2 linked regions of the Oreochromis niloticus genome follow. The protein of the gene in region 1 interacts with the protein of each later gene in a biochemical or structural test. Links are inferred from orthologs where the notes say so. Each region holds a gene or a part of one and is shown in the gene's direction. Other genes may lie near its edges. The genes, in order: rps6ka3b and pea15.

What was found.
Region 2: the proteins of rps6ka3b (region 1) and pea15 form a complex in vitro, tested with the Homo sapiens proteins (2 studies listed by BioGRID). The link is inferred for Oreochromis niloticus from reciprocal best matches to the Homo sapiens genes RPS6KA3 and PEA15.

Annotation. Positions count from the first base shown.
Region 1 is NC_031974.2:5,811,155-5,818,468, reverse strand, and holds the start of rps6ka3b (ribosomal protein S6 kinase alpha-3), read left to right. Parts: upstream 1-4,115; 5' UTR 4,116-4,496; coding exon 4,497-4,559; intron 4,560-7,314. Other genes in the region: pyruvate dehydrogenase E1 component subunit alpha, mitochondrial, read left to right, coding at 403-558, 867-938, 1,147-1,214, 1,298-1,406, 1,509-1,673. UniProt on the Homo sapiens protein: Serine/threonine-protein kinase that acts downstream of ERK (MAPK1/ERK2 and MAPK3/ERK1) signaling and mediates mitogenic and stress-induced activation of the transcription factors CREB1, ETV1/ER81 and NR4A1/NUR77, regulates translation through RPS6 and EIF4B phosphorylation, and mediates cellular proliferation, survival, and differentiation by modulating mTOR signaling and repressing pro-apoptotic function of BAD and DAPK1.
Region 2 is NC_031967.2:28,670,160-28,678,093, forward strand, and holds the start of pea15 (astrocytic phosphoprotein PEA-15), read left to right. Parts: upstream 1-4,790; 5' UTR 4,791-5,195; intron 5,196-7,934. UniProt on the Homo sapiens protein: Blocks Ras-mediated inhibition of integrin activation and modulates the ERK MAP kinase cascade. Inhibits RPS6KA3 activities by retaining it in the cytoplasm. Inhibits both TNFRSF6- and TNFRSF1A-mediated CASP8 activity and apoptosis.

The DNA of each region.
Region 1 (7,314 bases):
GCTGCTAAAAGGCTTTTAACACGCACTCTTACACTGTCATATCAGTTAGGTTTAAGATCTTTATTCTTATTTCCTTGGCTTCACGAGGTGACGCCACCACTTATTCTCATTCTGTTTCACCCCTGTTCTCCAAACCGGACCCTCTGAGCCACAGATGGAGGTTTTGTTTTTCCTCCGTCTGAAAACTGAGGCTGATTATGTGCGCTCCAAACTTTAGTGCCAGAACTGTGGAACAGCTTTCCTCCCTTGGCAGTTTAAAATGTATCTGGCATTTGGATGGACAGGCGTGCGTTTGTGTTCTGCGTTGTTTACGTGGTTCAGCTGTGTGCTTTTTAATACCTCTGTAAAGAACTTTACACTGGTTCTCGTCATTTGACCTCGACTCCTCTGTGATCCAATCAGGGCCAGCTCTTTGAGTCTTACAACATGGCCGCTCTATGGAAGCTGCCGTGCATCTTCATCTGCGAGAACAACAAGTACGGCATGGGGACATCGGTGGAGAGAGCTGCAGCCAGCACAGACTACTACAAGAGGGGAGACTTCATACCTGGACTCAGAGTGAGACATGAACACATTAAAGCTGCACGGCGGGGTTAAACATGGCGGGTAAACGTGCCGGTCCTGGGCAGCGGCGGCAGTGTGTCTGATGACTGTACACTGCCGCTGGCCCGTTTGGACCCAGACTATAACAGGAAGAGGCTGAGAGTCTGTCCTGGCAGTTGCAGGTGTGAGCATGCATACAGCTGCCTGATGCTCATGTATGATACTGCGCACAAACACTGGAATGTTCCAGGTGTCGCTGCAGGGGTCGCGTCTCTGTACGTAGAGGTGTGCCAATGGTCAGGTTTCTCTCTGCTCTCCTGCAGGTGGATGGGATGGATGTCCTGTGCGTCAGAGAGGCCACACAGTTTGCTGCAGATCACTGCAGAGCTGGAAAGGTGAGGGTTTGTTTTTTGTTTTGTTTTTTTATTTATACATTTTTAATATCTAATCTGTGCTGCACTCTGTTATTCATATATGTAAAAGTCCATGGAGACCCACAGCCTTTAATTTTGAAGGGTTCTCGTGGTGGAGAGTTTCCTGTAGGATCTCTAAAAGGCTCTAATCTTTCAGAGCATCGATGTGAAGCAGCACTTTGTGTTTCAGGGTCCCATCATAATGGAGCTGCAGACCTACCGTTACCATGGACACAGCATGAGTGACCCAGGTGTCAGGTGAGTTACCTTTCCCAGTCTGGATTTACCTGACCCTGGGAGAGTTGTGATTTTTCTCAGTAATTTGGTTTGACCTCCTGCAGCTACCGTACCCGCGAGGAGATTCAGGAGGTCCGTAGTAAGAGCGACCCCATCTCCATGCTGAAGGAGCGCATGCTCAGCCACAACATGGCGTCTGTAGAGGAGTTCAAGGTGAGCGTGCAGACAGCAGGGATACATTCACAGCTTCAAACCTTTTTTTATATAAAGGTTGGCAGCTGCAGGGATTACAGCACCTGATTTCTCTCCCATCAGGAAATCGACATAGAGATCCGTAAGCAGGTGGAGGAGGCGACTCAGTTCGCCACCTCGGACCCGGAGCCGCCGCTGGAAGAGTTATGCAACCACATCTTCTCCAAGAACCCGCCGCTGGAGGTGCGCGGGACAAGCCCCTGGTCCAAGCTCAAGTCTGTCAGCTAGACTCGGACCACACACTCCAACCATTATCCCTCACACATTCAGCACCTTCCCTCTCGACTTTAGGTCTCAGCACCTTCACAGGACTCTGAGGTTTTTTACCTGAAACCTGCCAGTGTTATTTATTTATAGTTTACTGTATAACTGAGATGTTATTCGTGGTGGAGACAGAGGTGTTGGATAGGATTAACATGCTGCACTGTAAACGCACAAATCCCAACATCTGACATGGAAACGTGTCTGTTAGAAACCCTCTCCATGTTTATCCTGCTTTTTAAACTCTTAGGAGACTTTTAAATGTTGCAAACTTGTGTAGGTATTCCCTCAGTAGTGTGACTTTAAAACCGGCGAAATACAAATGTGATGGATTTTTCTGGTAGTAAATGTGTTTTAAATGAGGAGTCGCAGCCTGAGCTTCAGAGCAGTCCCTCATCTGAAGCAGCTTCAGTGTCCAGGATAAGGACACAATATTAATGTATGTAATGATAAAATGGCTCTAAAAATGTTTATAACCTGAAGATGAAAACAAGACTTTAGATGGTCTCTAAATGCTTTAGAGGCTCTCCCTATCTGGACACTGAGGTCTGCAGGATCTTTTAGGAATGGTTGTTGTTGGTTGTGTTTTTGTTTTGTTTTTTTTTTTTTGTCTCCATAGATCTGGTTTTTCCAACCAAACGGTGAAATGACCTTTTTCTGCCCCTTTTCAAAGATGAGTAAATAAAATATAATCGAGCTGCTCGACTCGACTGCTGACGAGACAAACATCCGGACTTGTTTGGGGAAACTGAAGCTGGCAACTGGATGCACTACATTTGAGACTTTCTGGGCACTTTATGAGTTTAAAGGAGTCTGTTATAAAATCTTTCCTGTGTTCTTTAAAGTTTACTGTATCTGAGCCTGTACAGATATAAAGCTTTCTTATTTACCTGTCTGAATGGTGGAAACTGAAGGTTGTGAAATAAAACAACTTTAAAGAAAAGTGGAAACGTGATTGGTGTGTTTGAATCATATTTTATTTGCTCAGCTGTCAAACATAAAATGTGGTTACAAAGTAATGCTTCAAATATGACTCAATAGTTGATCAAACTAAAGGAAATCAGTGAGCTGTGTTCAGTTGTTCCATTCTCAACCACTAGATGTCACTATCAGGCTGATAAACTGCTCAAAACTAAAAATCAATTTATTTTTTTCACTTTAATTAGAGTAAAAATCTCCACTGGCTTCGGCCTGGTTTATTGTCAGCTTCATAATATAAAAAGGGACATGTCTGGACTTTTATCCCTTCTATTTTCGCTCTATTAAAGCTTTATGAACGAAAGTCATGCCCGGCTCGGACAAAAATTAAATGCTGTAAATTTAAACCAGTGAAAAGGTGTCACAGAAAAAACTGACAAAAGTATTCAAAAGTGGATTTTGTAACGACGCACAGCTTTAAGGAAGCGATGCGGTGAATCCAGGAGCACGTTCATGAGGTTTTTTGTGTTGATGTTTGTTTTTGGTTATTGTGTAGTTTTTGTCGTTTTGTGTACTTCAAAGTCGTTTTCCTTTCTGTGCTCGTGTTTCCCGTTTTTGTGAGCATTTCATATATTATATGTACATATTGAGTGGTTTATGGTCACTGCATATTTTTTGGTCAGTTTTTGATAATGTGTTGATTTGTATTTTTTTCTGGTAATTTGGCATTTCATGGGTACACACTTATGTTGTCCTCGAGCTTTTTTTGGTGGTTTATTTATTTCGTGGTTCACTACAGTATATGTGGAATAACTGTTGGCTGTTTGTGGACATTTAGCAGGTTTTTGTGGTCACAGTATTATTTCTGTGGGTGATTTTGTGCAGATTTTGTATATTTTTATGGTAATTTGTTTCATGCCTGGGTCATTTGTGACTGTTTTGCACATTTTGTAGTCATTTTGCGGTTGTTGGTGTATCACTTTGAATGTGTTTACTGATTTTGCATATTTGACATTTGTTGTTATTTAGAGTAGTTTTGTGGTTTATTTTTACATCTTTTGGTGGAATTTGCCATGTTATTGCTGGATTGTCCATTTTGCAGATTTTTGTATTTGTATTTTGTGTACTTTGTGATGGGTTTTTATGTGGTTAGGTGGCTTATTTTGGATAGTTTGTGGTCATTTTGAGTATCTTTGAGATACTCTTTTGCATTTTGTGTTACTTTTTATGTTTTGTGGTCATTTGGGTCGTTTAAGGTCGTTTTACATACTTTCTGTGATTGTGTGGGGCAGTTTGGCGCCACCCTGTTAGGCTTTATCGGTAAAAATAATCATTAAAAAAACAACACCGCCTTAGTGATGAATTGCAGACTGTTTATTCATAAGTTCAGATACGTGCTCGTTCACTCTTTTATTACCTAAGTGAGAATGCCGCCTGTCGTCGTGACGTAGTTGTGACGCAGCGCTCTGACGGACAGGTAAGCCGACACCGGCCGCCATATTGGGAAAGAACGGAAGTGAGAGAGGGAGAGGTGGAGGTAGAGAGAGAGAGAGAGAGAGACGGAGATAAGTCAATCAGTTTCCGAAAAAGGGCGTCCTCCTCCTCCTCTTCGTGTCTCCGGAGGAAGGGGCGGTCTCAGCGCCGCGGCAGATCCGGAATTAGCCCTTGTTCGCTCGGCTCCGTTCGGTCGGTTGGTCGGTCGGTCGGTTCGGTTCCTGCCGACGCTGAAAGTGGACTACTACCTTCAAACATTTTTTTTTAAGAATAAGAGCGAGGAGAGAAAGCGTCCGGAGCGAGGGAGGTACGAGCAGCAGAAAAGCGGAATAACAGAAGAAGAAGAATAAAGAAAAGTAGGGGCAGAAGAAGAAGAAGATGCCTCTGGCTCAGCTGGCGGATCCCTGGCAGAAGATGCCGCTGGGGAGGACGGCTGGAGAGGTGAGCACACTTTGGTTTGTCCTGCTGTCACACTGACTGACAGCTGAATGAGGGCTGCAGTCACAGCAGCAGCTTTCAGGGGGTAAAAAACACAAAAACACGGCACAGGATGCAGTCTGATGCTACAAAAGCGCCTTCTCTGTCAGGCAGAGGCAGCTGCTCCTAAACACAGCACAAACTACCGTAAGATCACTCTGCAGGTAAATCTGTGCTTCAGGAAGCGCTGGACATGTGCTAGCAATGACAGAGTCACGATGAAGTGCTCAAACAGTAAGCTGACAGTGTCATAAAGGACATTATACATTGCATTTATATTGACAGCAGCTGCTAAGTGACTGCAGGGATATTACTATGACCCTAAATTGAACTGTAAACACCGTAAACTCTGGGAACATCTGTTTATTTCCCTCTGAAGACACAAAGATGAAGTAATTTTCTATGCAGAAATTTTACACCAGTTCAGGAGGGCGCAGAAGTACACCAAAGTGTCATGTAAGCTCCCAAATAAGCACTCAAATCTTTGCAGGAATGTCCTGGATATGATCCAGTGTTAAATCATGTGGTTTAAAATGTCATAAAGTGCAAAAATATGAAGGGACCTTTCAGGATAATTCGATTTTTTTAGTTAAAGTCACTCTTCTTAGCAGCTAAACTACAACACAGGCATCATTTTTACCCTAGAAAGCTTCAGCAGGACTAAATTAGCTGCACTAAAACAACATAAAGTATCAAGTGATGACCCGAAGGCACAAATATGTAATAATACTTTATGCATGAGTATTACAGTGGTACTACAGGGCACAGAAAAACTCCAAAGTACCACATTGTCGGTATAAGCTGCCAACGTAGTGTTGCAGTCTCTGTAGGACTGCCATGGACATGTTTCTGGTGTTAAATCGAGAGGTTTTAAATATCATAAAGGACAAAAATGTGAAAATGAGATTGCATTATGGTTGACAGCACTGGTGACTAAAGGGGCATCAATTTGTCCCTGAAATTTGGTCGAAAACATTAGAAAGCTCCAAAAAGATGAAGTTAGCTGCATTAAAACACGACGTAGTTTTAACGTTCGTGTGTTTACTCTAAACACCCGAACGTGGTCCACACCCTCCAGACATGTTACATGTGTGCAAAAGGAAACCCTGAGCATGTGCTACAATATTTTTGGAATGACTTAAACAATAAAAGAAAAAAAGTCTGTCATGGATGCCTGTCAGTGTCAGTAAACAGAGTCTGAAAGTGTCGTAAGGGACAAATATATGAAGTCTGTATTAGCACTGCTGAGTGACTACAGGGACACTATTATGACCCTAAATGGGATTTTAAATACCATAAAACTCTAAAAGGAAATCAGTTCATGTAACTCTGAAGACACAAACACGAAGTAATATTCTGTGCAGAAATATTACACCAGTACAGTGTACAGTGGGCACAGAAGAACAATAAAACTGGTGTTTAATTGAGAGGTTTACAGCACATTGTGCACAGCAGATTGTATTATTACACAAACTATTTTAAATTAGATTTAAAGCAGCATAGAGCTCCGACGGGGACTATATTAGTTGCACTGAATCACATCATGAAGCAGTTTAGGGACAGAGTTGTTACATTTGGGTTTTATATGTTAAAGTCTGTTTAGAAATAACAGATTCATGTTTAAATGCTAAAATAAGAGAATGGAATGACGAAGTGTGAAAATGTTGCAAAGTAGGTTGTATTAGGATCGAGAGCAGCAGCTAAAGCTGCTATAGAGGCATTATTTTGACCTTAAGTTAGACTAAAAACACCACGAACCTCAAACAGGACTAAATTAGTTTTACTGAAACACAACAGAAAGTAGCATAAGATCATTCTGAAGACACAAAGATGAAGTTTTCTATGCAGATATATTACATTAGTACTACCAGGCAGAGAAAGTGTCACTATAAGCTGCCATAGTAGTGTTAAAATCTCTCTGGAAATGCCCTGACCATAATATAAAAATGTCAGAAAGTACAAAACTACTTTGGGACTATTACATTTTTTACCATTTAAGCAGATGCAGACTCACCGAATATTATAATACTGGCAGGCTCTATAAATGCTCTACAAATTGATAGAAAACAAACTGTAGAAGAAGACATAAAATGATCTGAAGAGCCCCGGCTTTTCTCTCTGGCCTGACCCTGAAGCTCATTTAATCAATTCATCGACTCTGAGTGTCACAAACTCACTAAATCACCTTAAAGTCTCAGTTAGATCACCGCTGACAGCAGCACCCCCCCCCCCCCCCCCCCCCCCCCCTTATTTCCTTATTTTAACACACCACGCCAAGTCTCCTGAGATCAGTCTGTAGACACGCAAGGCTTTACTTTCAAATACTAAAGCTGTGTTACAGCTCCTGCTTATTGCCTTATCTACTAGTCCAGCGTCAGAATATGCAGCCGTAGAGGTGCAGTAGTTAATGTCATGTTTGAGCACTAAACCAGCAGGTTAAAGGCTATTATTAATTACAGCAGCAGCCAAATCTTAAGCTCCTGTAAGGACTTTACTTTGACCAGAAAATAGATTAAAAACCCAAGAAGACTGTGTAATATTGTACAATATAGAAGTACTGCTCCAAATATTTAATTCATGTTATATGAATCTCTCAGTAAACTGCGGGGTGCAGTTAAGGATCCTTAAAAGCACCGAAACACATGAAACAATGTGTGATTATAAACCACACAGATTTAATAAAAAACTCTGCAGGAGTAGTTAGAGGAGATTAAAAAAC
Region 2 (7,934 bases), on another chromosome or scaffold:
CTGTTTCACTGTGAGTCCAAAGAGCGCTGCCTCATTCTCCATTTCAGATGACTCTGTCCGTATTTGCATTAACAACAGTATGCCCATTGTTACAGTGAAAGCAGATCCTGAGACAACTCATTTAGGTGGTGACAGGTACAGGAAATCTGGTGTCACTGTATTCACTGCTGTTTGCAACATAATGATGACGATAATAATATTTTATTAAATACAAAATGTTTACCATAGGGTCAAACCTTTCGGAAAAAAAATGTTTGGTAGAAAGTAGAACTATGAAAAATAGACTAGAATAGAATAAAATAGAATAGAATAAAGTAGCCACTTTATTGTAATTCAGAACACATATCAGTTAGTGAACATCAGAGCAAAATATTGATGCATTTACTCACCAGCAGGCGGTACAATATAAATACAGAAATGTGTATAGGATCTTTGCAAAACATTTCATGCTTTTATGGTTTTGTGGTTTTGCTTAAATATACACTCAGTTTTTATGTCCGAGTATGTTGTTGGTGTTTCTTTCTTTAGCAGGTTTTTGCATGAACTGCCCCTTTGTTCATTGAATCAATATTAACATCAAACCAAAGCTGAATTTTATGTTATCTGTGCATTAACTTGGTAGCACTTCTGATTGTAGCTCGGTAACAGAGGGTTAAAAGTAGTGTAACAAAGTAGAAATAATAAGGTAATAATTGAAAATTTCTGTTATTACCACTCAATTACCAAAGTAATAACAATGTAATATCCAAGTAATTGCCATGGTGGCAAACAGCAGTTATTCCATCCCATCCATCCATTCTCTTCCGTTTATTCTTGTCAGGGTCGTGGGGGGGCTGGAGCCTATCCCAGCTGACTTAGGCCAAGAGGGAGGGTACACCCTGGACAGGTTGGCAGTCTGTCGCAGGGCTAACACATAGAGGCAGACAACCAGTCACACTCACATTCACACCTATGGCAATTTAGACTTACTAATTAACCTATCCCCAATAACTACGTCTTTGGAATGTGGGAGGAAGCCACAGTATCCAGAGAAAACCCACACAAATTCCACACAGAAAAACCCCAACCTAATGGTGGAATTGAACACAGGCAACAGTGCTAACCACTGTGGTCACTGATACTTAAGTGAGAAAGCAAGATTCTGCTGATGTGTAAGTAATTTAATGCTGTTGGCATCATGGCGAATTTACAGCACTAAATTAAGTGGTTATGCCGAGGCTACATGCACTTTCAACAATGTACAGCTGATGTGTGTTAAAAAAAAAAAGAAGCATCCATTGGGTTTAAAAGACAGCAAAGAAGTGCACTAAAACAGTAATGGGCTAACTCACATGCTTCCCCTGAATCGATGCCAATTTAGGGTGTTGTTGATAGTGAAGACAATCTTTAGCAATCTGAAATAAGAAGGCATTCATTACTATGTGTCACATGAGAGGTTTTCAGCAAAATGAAGTTTACACTTCATCTTTCATTCCAGAAAACTTTGCAAAAGAAAAGACAAACCAGTGTTTTCCATTCAATAAGGCCAACAAGCCGATGAAGTCACTGAACACCATTTACAGCTCAAATAATGGAAAAAGTGCTCAAAACAGAATAAAATATATATATCTTTTTCATTTGTCTCCTCATCAGTCCAAACTTTTAAGTCAGGCATTATGAACATCATGATTTTTTTTACAGGCATTAAATAGTCACTTTTATTAATAAATAAAGATGTAAACATGGTGATGATTACACCCTAGTGGTCTTAAAAAATACTCAAATAAAAGCCGATGTTGCCTTAATGGAACTACAGCTGTGTTTAGTAAGTCTGTAGTAGCACAGTCTGTCATCACTCAGTAACACAAAGAATATAAATGCATTTAACCCCTGTAAATGTGGTGCTTTGGTGCTTTGAATTGCAGCACTTTTTCAGTTTTTTTTAAGTAAAAGCAAATGGAAACTTTCCCAAAATCGGTGTCCTTACTCCAGTTCTTTTGCACCCTTGTGAGTGATCATGTGTACATGCTTGTGTATTAGTAAAAAAGGGGACTTTTTCCAATGCCCGAGGTCAAAGACCGGAGAAGAAAAGTGTTATTCATAACCTCCAGATTTGTATCGCCATGAGTTACAGAGCAACAACAAAGTCATGACAACACAAAATCATGAGATGCACTATAAAATTTTGTAAGTTAAAGGTTATTTTTATATTTTATATTAATAAATGTGTTTTATTTTAAATTTTGGGGCATTTTTTTTTCATGTCCGTCATAACATATTCCAAAATTATGTCAAAACACACATACGCACTTCTGAGGTGTGTGAAACCATTAGCAGTTTATTCCAGCAGAGTTATTTCTTTCAGTGATGTAAAGTTTAGTCGTGGGACATCTGATGTACAACACCTGTGCATTTTTGGATTCAAGTTACACTTTGCAAGAATGAACACAGCTCTGCGCTTCACACCCACCTACGCGCACTTCTGAAGACCTTTGAAAAGAGAAGTGTAGAATGGCTCAAGCAGCTTTTAACAGGAAGCAATTCTTGTTTTCTTGGTGTAACCTGAAGATGGTTAAAGAAAACAGGAAATGTGACATCACATACGAAGGTATTTCCACTACACATAGTTATTATTTTTAGTTGTCTGGACGTTTTACTCAGAGTTCCTGATGGTCGCAAAGACTGCTCAGAAAACTAACTTTACCTTACTTTACACTTAAAAAGGGGTTTGTGTTCTTTTCAAAATAAAATATGTAGGACTAGCTGGAGTTAACGGGCTACTTCAACTGTATATGCATCAACAAAAGTTTAATCTCCAAAAAGGTTTTGTGGGGAAGCAAGGGAAAAAATGGTAGTGCATGCCAACTTTGCTTTGACAGCTTAATTTTTAGTTCTGCACCGCAGAGCCTATAACTTAGCCTACAGGTGCTTCCACTGCTGGACCGTTTTGCTGTCAAAACACTAGTGAGCATTAGAGTTTCTCTTGAAAATTATTAGCCATGAAAATTACAGCTTAGAGTTACAAAAGAGTTTGCAGTTAGATAGTTCCAACTGTACAGTAACTGTGTGTTAGCCATGGACGCTACTATCTACTACTGTTTACCAGTCTAAACATATCTCCATGTTCCTGATGTTGTTGACTTCTGACTGACTTTGAATTCAATTATCATTCCAATACTATGACAAATAATAGCCTCGTTATAATCTATGGATGCATCTTGCTAACATAGTTGCTTTGTGTTGCAGAATGTGAAATGTGAAACCAATGAAATAATATTTTATTCCCATTGAAAGAACAGACATCTGTCATTTCTAAAGCAATTTTGTGACAGAAAAATCTGAAATATAGATTTAAACTCTATAATTGCAGCTGTTTTCCCACTTGTGTCCATTTTCACTGTGCTAAGGGGAGGCCAGAGGGGAGAAACTAATGAATGATTTAACTTCATTTGAGAGATCAGCACCCAGCAGCACAACTTCTGTTGGCTCGCTGTCACTTTTAAAAGAATGGAGTTGAAGCTGGGGGGCTGATGTTTGTGACAGAGAGAAAGGAACAGGAGGAGGGATTTGCAGACCGGATAGCGGCTCAGTGACATCAGCTTCGAAAAATGTGTGTGTGGAACTGAGAGTGTATGTGTGGAATCAGAGGAAAAATAGGGAATGGGAAAGAGCTCCCACTCTGCTCCTTTTACCGAGAACTAAAGAGAACACGAACGTGTGCTCAGCGTGTTATTCCTGCTGGTTGTTTCTATCTTTAACTCTAAATTAACCCCAGATGCATAACAAATATTTTTATTTGTTATGTTTGGGTTATACTCCAAAACGGCCTTATTTTATTATACAAAGTAAAACAAGAGATCAATTAAAGAAATCCCCCAAGTTACCCACTGATGCATCTGTGTGGGTTTGAGCATGTGTCTGTGGATTCATCCTGCAGTGTCAAAGTGCTTTGAGGACTAAGTGAGTGCTAAGCATATAACAGTCCATATTACCATGGGTTAAACTAAAAGTAGGAGAAGGTAAAACACATAGAATATTTGGATGGAAAGAAGATTAGACACTAGTGATCACTGCTGTGAAACTCAGCTTGAGGTTCATTAATGGTGTTTTTAGATTGGTTACATGACTAAGCCAATAAAAGAAAGCTAAACCAATAAAACATCTTGGCGCAACACTCACCTCACAACAAGAAGCTTCCAGGTTTGAAGGTGTCCAAAGACGCTTGTCAGGTTAGCTGGTAAATCTAAAGTGGTGTTAATGGGACTTCAGTGGATAGCCATCACATCTCAGCCAGGGTCCTGGATACGCGCCTTGAACGAGAGTGCTGAGCCAAGGATAAAGCAGCATTCACACATCGGAACAAATTCAAATCGAGTGAATACCTGAAACAGTGCTATCCAACGGGTAATATTACTATTTTACTTTGAAAAAAGAAGCTCTGAAAAAATGCAAGCTAAAGATGTGCCTTACTTATCCCCAAAACCATTAACTGGGGATGTGATTTGAAAGTGTTTGAAATCTCCTGTGGATAGACACGAAGGCAAATTAAGAAGATAAGATGACAGTGTGCTGCAGAGAATGCAAACACTTTTAAATCTAATTTTTGATTATCCTCAGGCTTCACAGCCTCCTCAAGTCCCCTTTAAAAATCATTATTATTATTATTATTATTATTATTATTATTATTATTATTGCCAAATATAGTTTCGCGGCGTGTTATTGACAGAGTGAGGCGTTGTATTCAACAGACGATCTCAGGGCGAATCAGACAGCGCGCTTAACCGTGACCGAGAGAGAGAGAGAGCGAGAGGAGGGGGAGAGAGAGACAAAAGGCGTTTCCACGTTAGAGCAGCCAGCTTCAGAGCGGCGGATAGCGAAGCACGCGGACATAGGGAGACCTCACGAGCATCATACACCCCCAAACTCGCGCTGACAGTTCGTCTAACCCAGGCACCACGGCCGCGTTTTGCCACGCTGATGAATCACACTCAAGTTCATCACTGAGCGACTTGAAACCACAAAAGTGAACCGAAACCAAGCGGGACTGACCAGGTGGACTTTTTTTTTCTCCCTCCTTGCATCACGTCTGCCGTCTCTCTTGGGCTGCTTTCTACGCGTTTGAGCTTTGTAGAGGAAATCGTCCCGCAGACTCACGCATCCCTTCCATCTCCGTGTCTCTTTCCCTGCCTGTAGCTGACTCATTTTTGCTGCTCGGGGTGAGTACATCTCTTTCTAACTCTCCCTTCCTGTCTCCATCTTTTTTCTGTTTTTTAAATCATGCTTTTTCTCACACGCCTGTGGGGGATTGTTGCTTTAAGACCCATTTCCCCAGAGTGTACTTCATTCATTTGACCGTCATTCCGCTCTCCATTCATGGATACGGCTCATTTCTGTCGTTGCATACCGCTACATGGAGGCTGTGTCGGAGACTCGCCTACTTCACAGCCTGCTGTCAATGAGAGTTGTTTTTTTGTGAACTATGAATTAAAACTGAGACTCCTGTGAGGATAGCGGACATACAATATTGGTCAATTAAGTGATTCCACTGGGCGTTAAGCAGGTTGTTTCTTAACAGTAAAAGAAACACTTAAACATTAAGCTGAAATAACTGACTGTAAACCTTTAAGCGTATGTCCTTAACTCATTCATGGACTTTCAAATGGCAAATGGATGGATGTTTCATTCTCAAGAGTGCACTGAATACACCATTGATTAAACTAATTGGATTGAGTGTAGTGTGGCTATTCATGTATCTAGTGTCCTTTTCATTACACCCCTGCTGAATATCCCAACAGTTTTCCGTATAGAGGCTGGACTCAGTGGGATTACAGTGCACTCTCCCACTGAATCCCAGCTATAATGTGTGATAAAAGTCTGTGGTGTTGTTTTAGTAGATCTGCATTTATGAGGATCACATGATCTGGAATATTCTGGCTCTAAACCAGAGGAGCAGATGATAAAGCACTGGTGACCACCTGTGACTGTCCCGGATGGCTGAGAGTGTGTGTGAGCGGATGGGGAAGGGGTGGGTCTTTTATGAATGAATTTGGGTGGATGGCCAACACTTTGTGTGTGCATATGGGTGGGGGTGAGCAGAAGTGTTCTTCCTGAACACTAACAGACTTATCTCAACTAAGCTACTCTCCTTATGCAGTTGTGAACTTGTGATGAAATCATGTTTGATTTGGCAGATTTTTAGCCGGATGCCTTTCATGAACCCCCCACCCCCCACCCCACACACACACACACACACACACACACACACACACACACACACACCTAAACCACTACACGATATTGCCTGTTTTTAATCATTTTGATACTATTACACAATCTGGTTTGGGCCTATAGGCTTTTCAAAATTTAAGAGTAGTGTTAGTTTTAGCCTTGTCCAAGGATCTGATAAGCTCAAACCTACAAAAGGCATAAAAGGACTAAAGAAACTAAAGGAGTAACTTTGAAGTTCTGTGTTTGAGTCAAGCTTACTAGCATCTCTTTGTTAGTGTTTTTAAAAGGGATGCACAAAGCTTTCTGCATTTGTCAGTGAAAATAGTGAATCTGGTAATGCTGACAGCAAGACAATCACATTAAATCCTTTGTGTTTTCTATGGGTGGCTTGCTCATGTCACACCAGCATTTTTCTTTGAATGTTTGCAACAGATTCTGCTTAACTGTAAAAGACTTCACACAAGTGAAAAGCTCCAGTGACGCAATTTTAACTACTGTTCTTAAATTCATAATGTTTTTAATACATTTATAATACATAATGTATACTTTCTAATATGTTCTTAAATCTATAGTTGGCCCATTTTACCGATGTAGTGATTGTGTTTTTGTTGTGTCAAAAGTGACGTCTGCACAGCTCCGTACTGTTTAGTGCTGAGGAAGCGAGGGCTGTTTTCAATATTCTTCTGAACGATGGGATAAAACTATCAAGTTGTCTCCACTCAGATAAAACCTTTACAGCAGGGATAATGGGACCATTATGAGCTACAGTCCATAACTAATGTATTTTGTTCTCGATAGAGGTTTGACACATGTAAAAAAAAAAAAGAAAAAAGAAAAACAAACAAACAAACAAAAAAAAAATACAGCTAACAGCAAAACAGCAAAATGATTAATTAGAACTATAAAGAGATACCAAAAAAGTAAAAAAAAAAAGAACAAGGCAGTTTTTGTGGTTTAATGCCATTTTACCATCAGTTGTTCTCCCAGTTTACTTTTAAGTCTGTTTTAAGCTAAAACATTCATTGCTGTATGTAAATTAAACCCATTTTATGTTTGCCTTTGCCACTTCTTAAGCCAGACGTTAGGATGTTGCGTTGCTTGCTAGCATAAACTCAGTCATTTTTCTACGTTACAAAAACACCACAGTGAAGATGCTGGCACAGCGTTTAGCATATTTGCTAAAAAACATGACATGAACAATTAGCCAAGTAGATCCTGATTAACTTTGTTGACATGTAGCTTCTGCTCTAATTTTAGCTATTTGTCATTAATTACTGCATATTCCCATTCATTCTGACCCCATCTGCCACACTCATACAGCACATTGCACTTTAGCGTGTAACAGATGCACAGTGTGACAGCTGTCAGTCCATTTCCTGTTAGGCCACATTCCACTCATTTTTATCCCTGAACAGTGTGCGCTCTTTGCAAGCTGTCAAACATTCCTGTGGACTGATAATACATCTTTGTGAGGACTTTTTTTTTCTTTTTTTTTACTTTGCCTGAGGGTAAAGCTTAATTTTAGGTTATGAACAGAGCTAAAGGGTCCTCACAGTTATACAAATAGAGGCTTGTGTGTGTGAGCCTTGACTCAGCTTTTTGGGAGCCGGTCTCCTCTCCTTTTTGATACATATATACATCGATCTGTCGTTGTGCACACAGAGGAAAAACACGAGTGGGACAGCAGAAATGTGCTTCCTCTCTCAGGTTCACTTCCTATATATGTG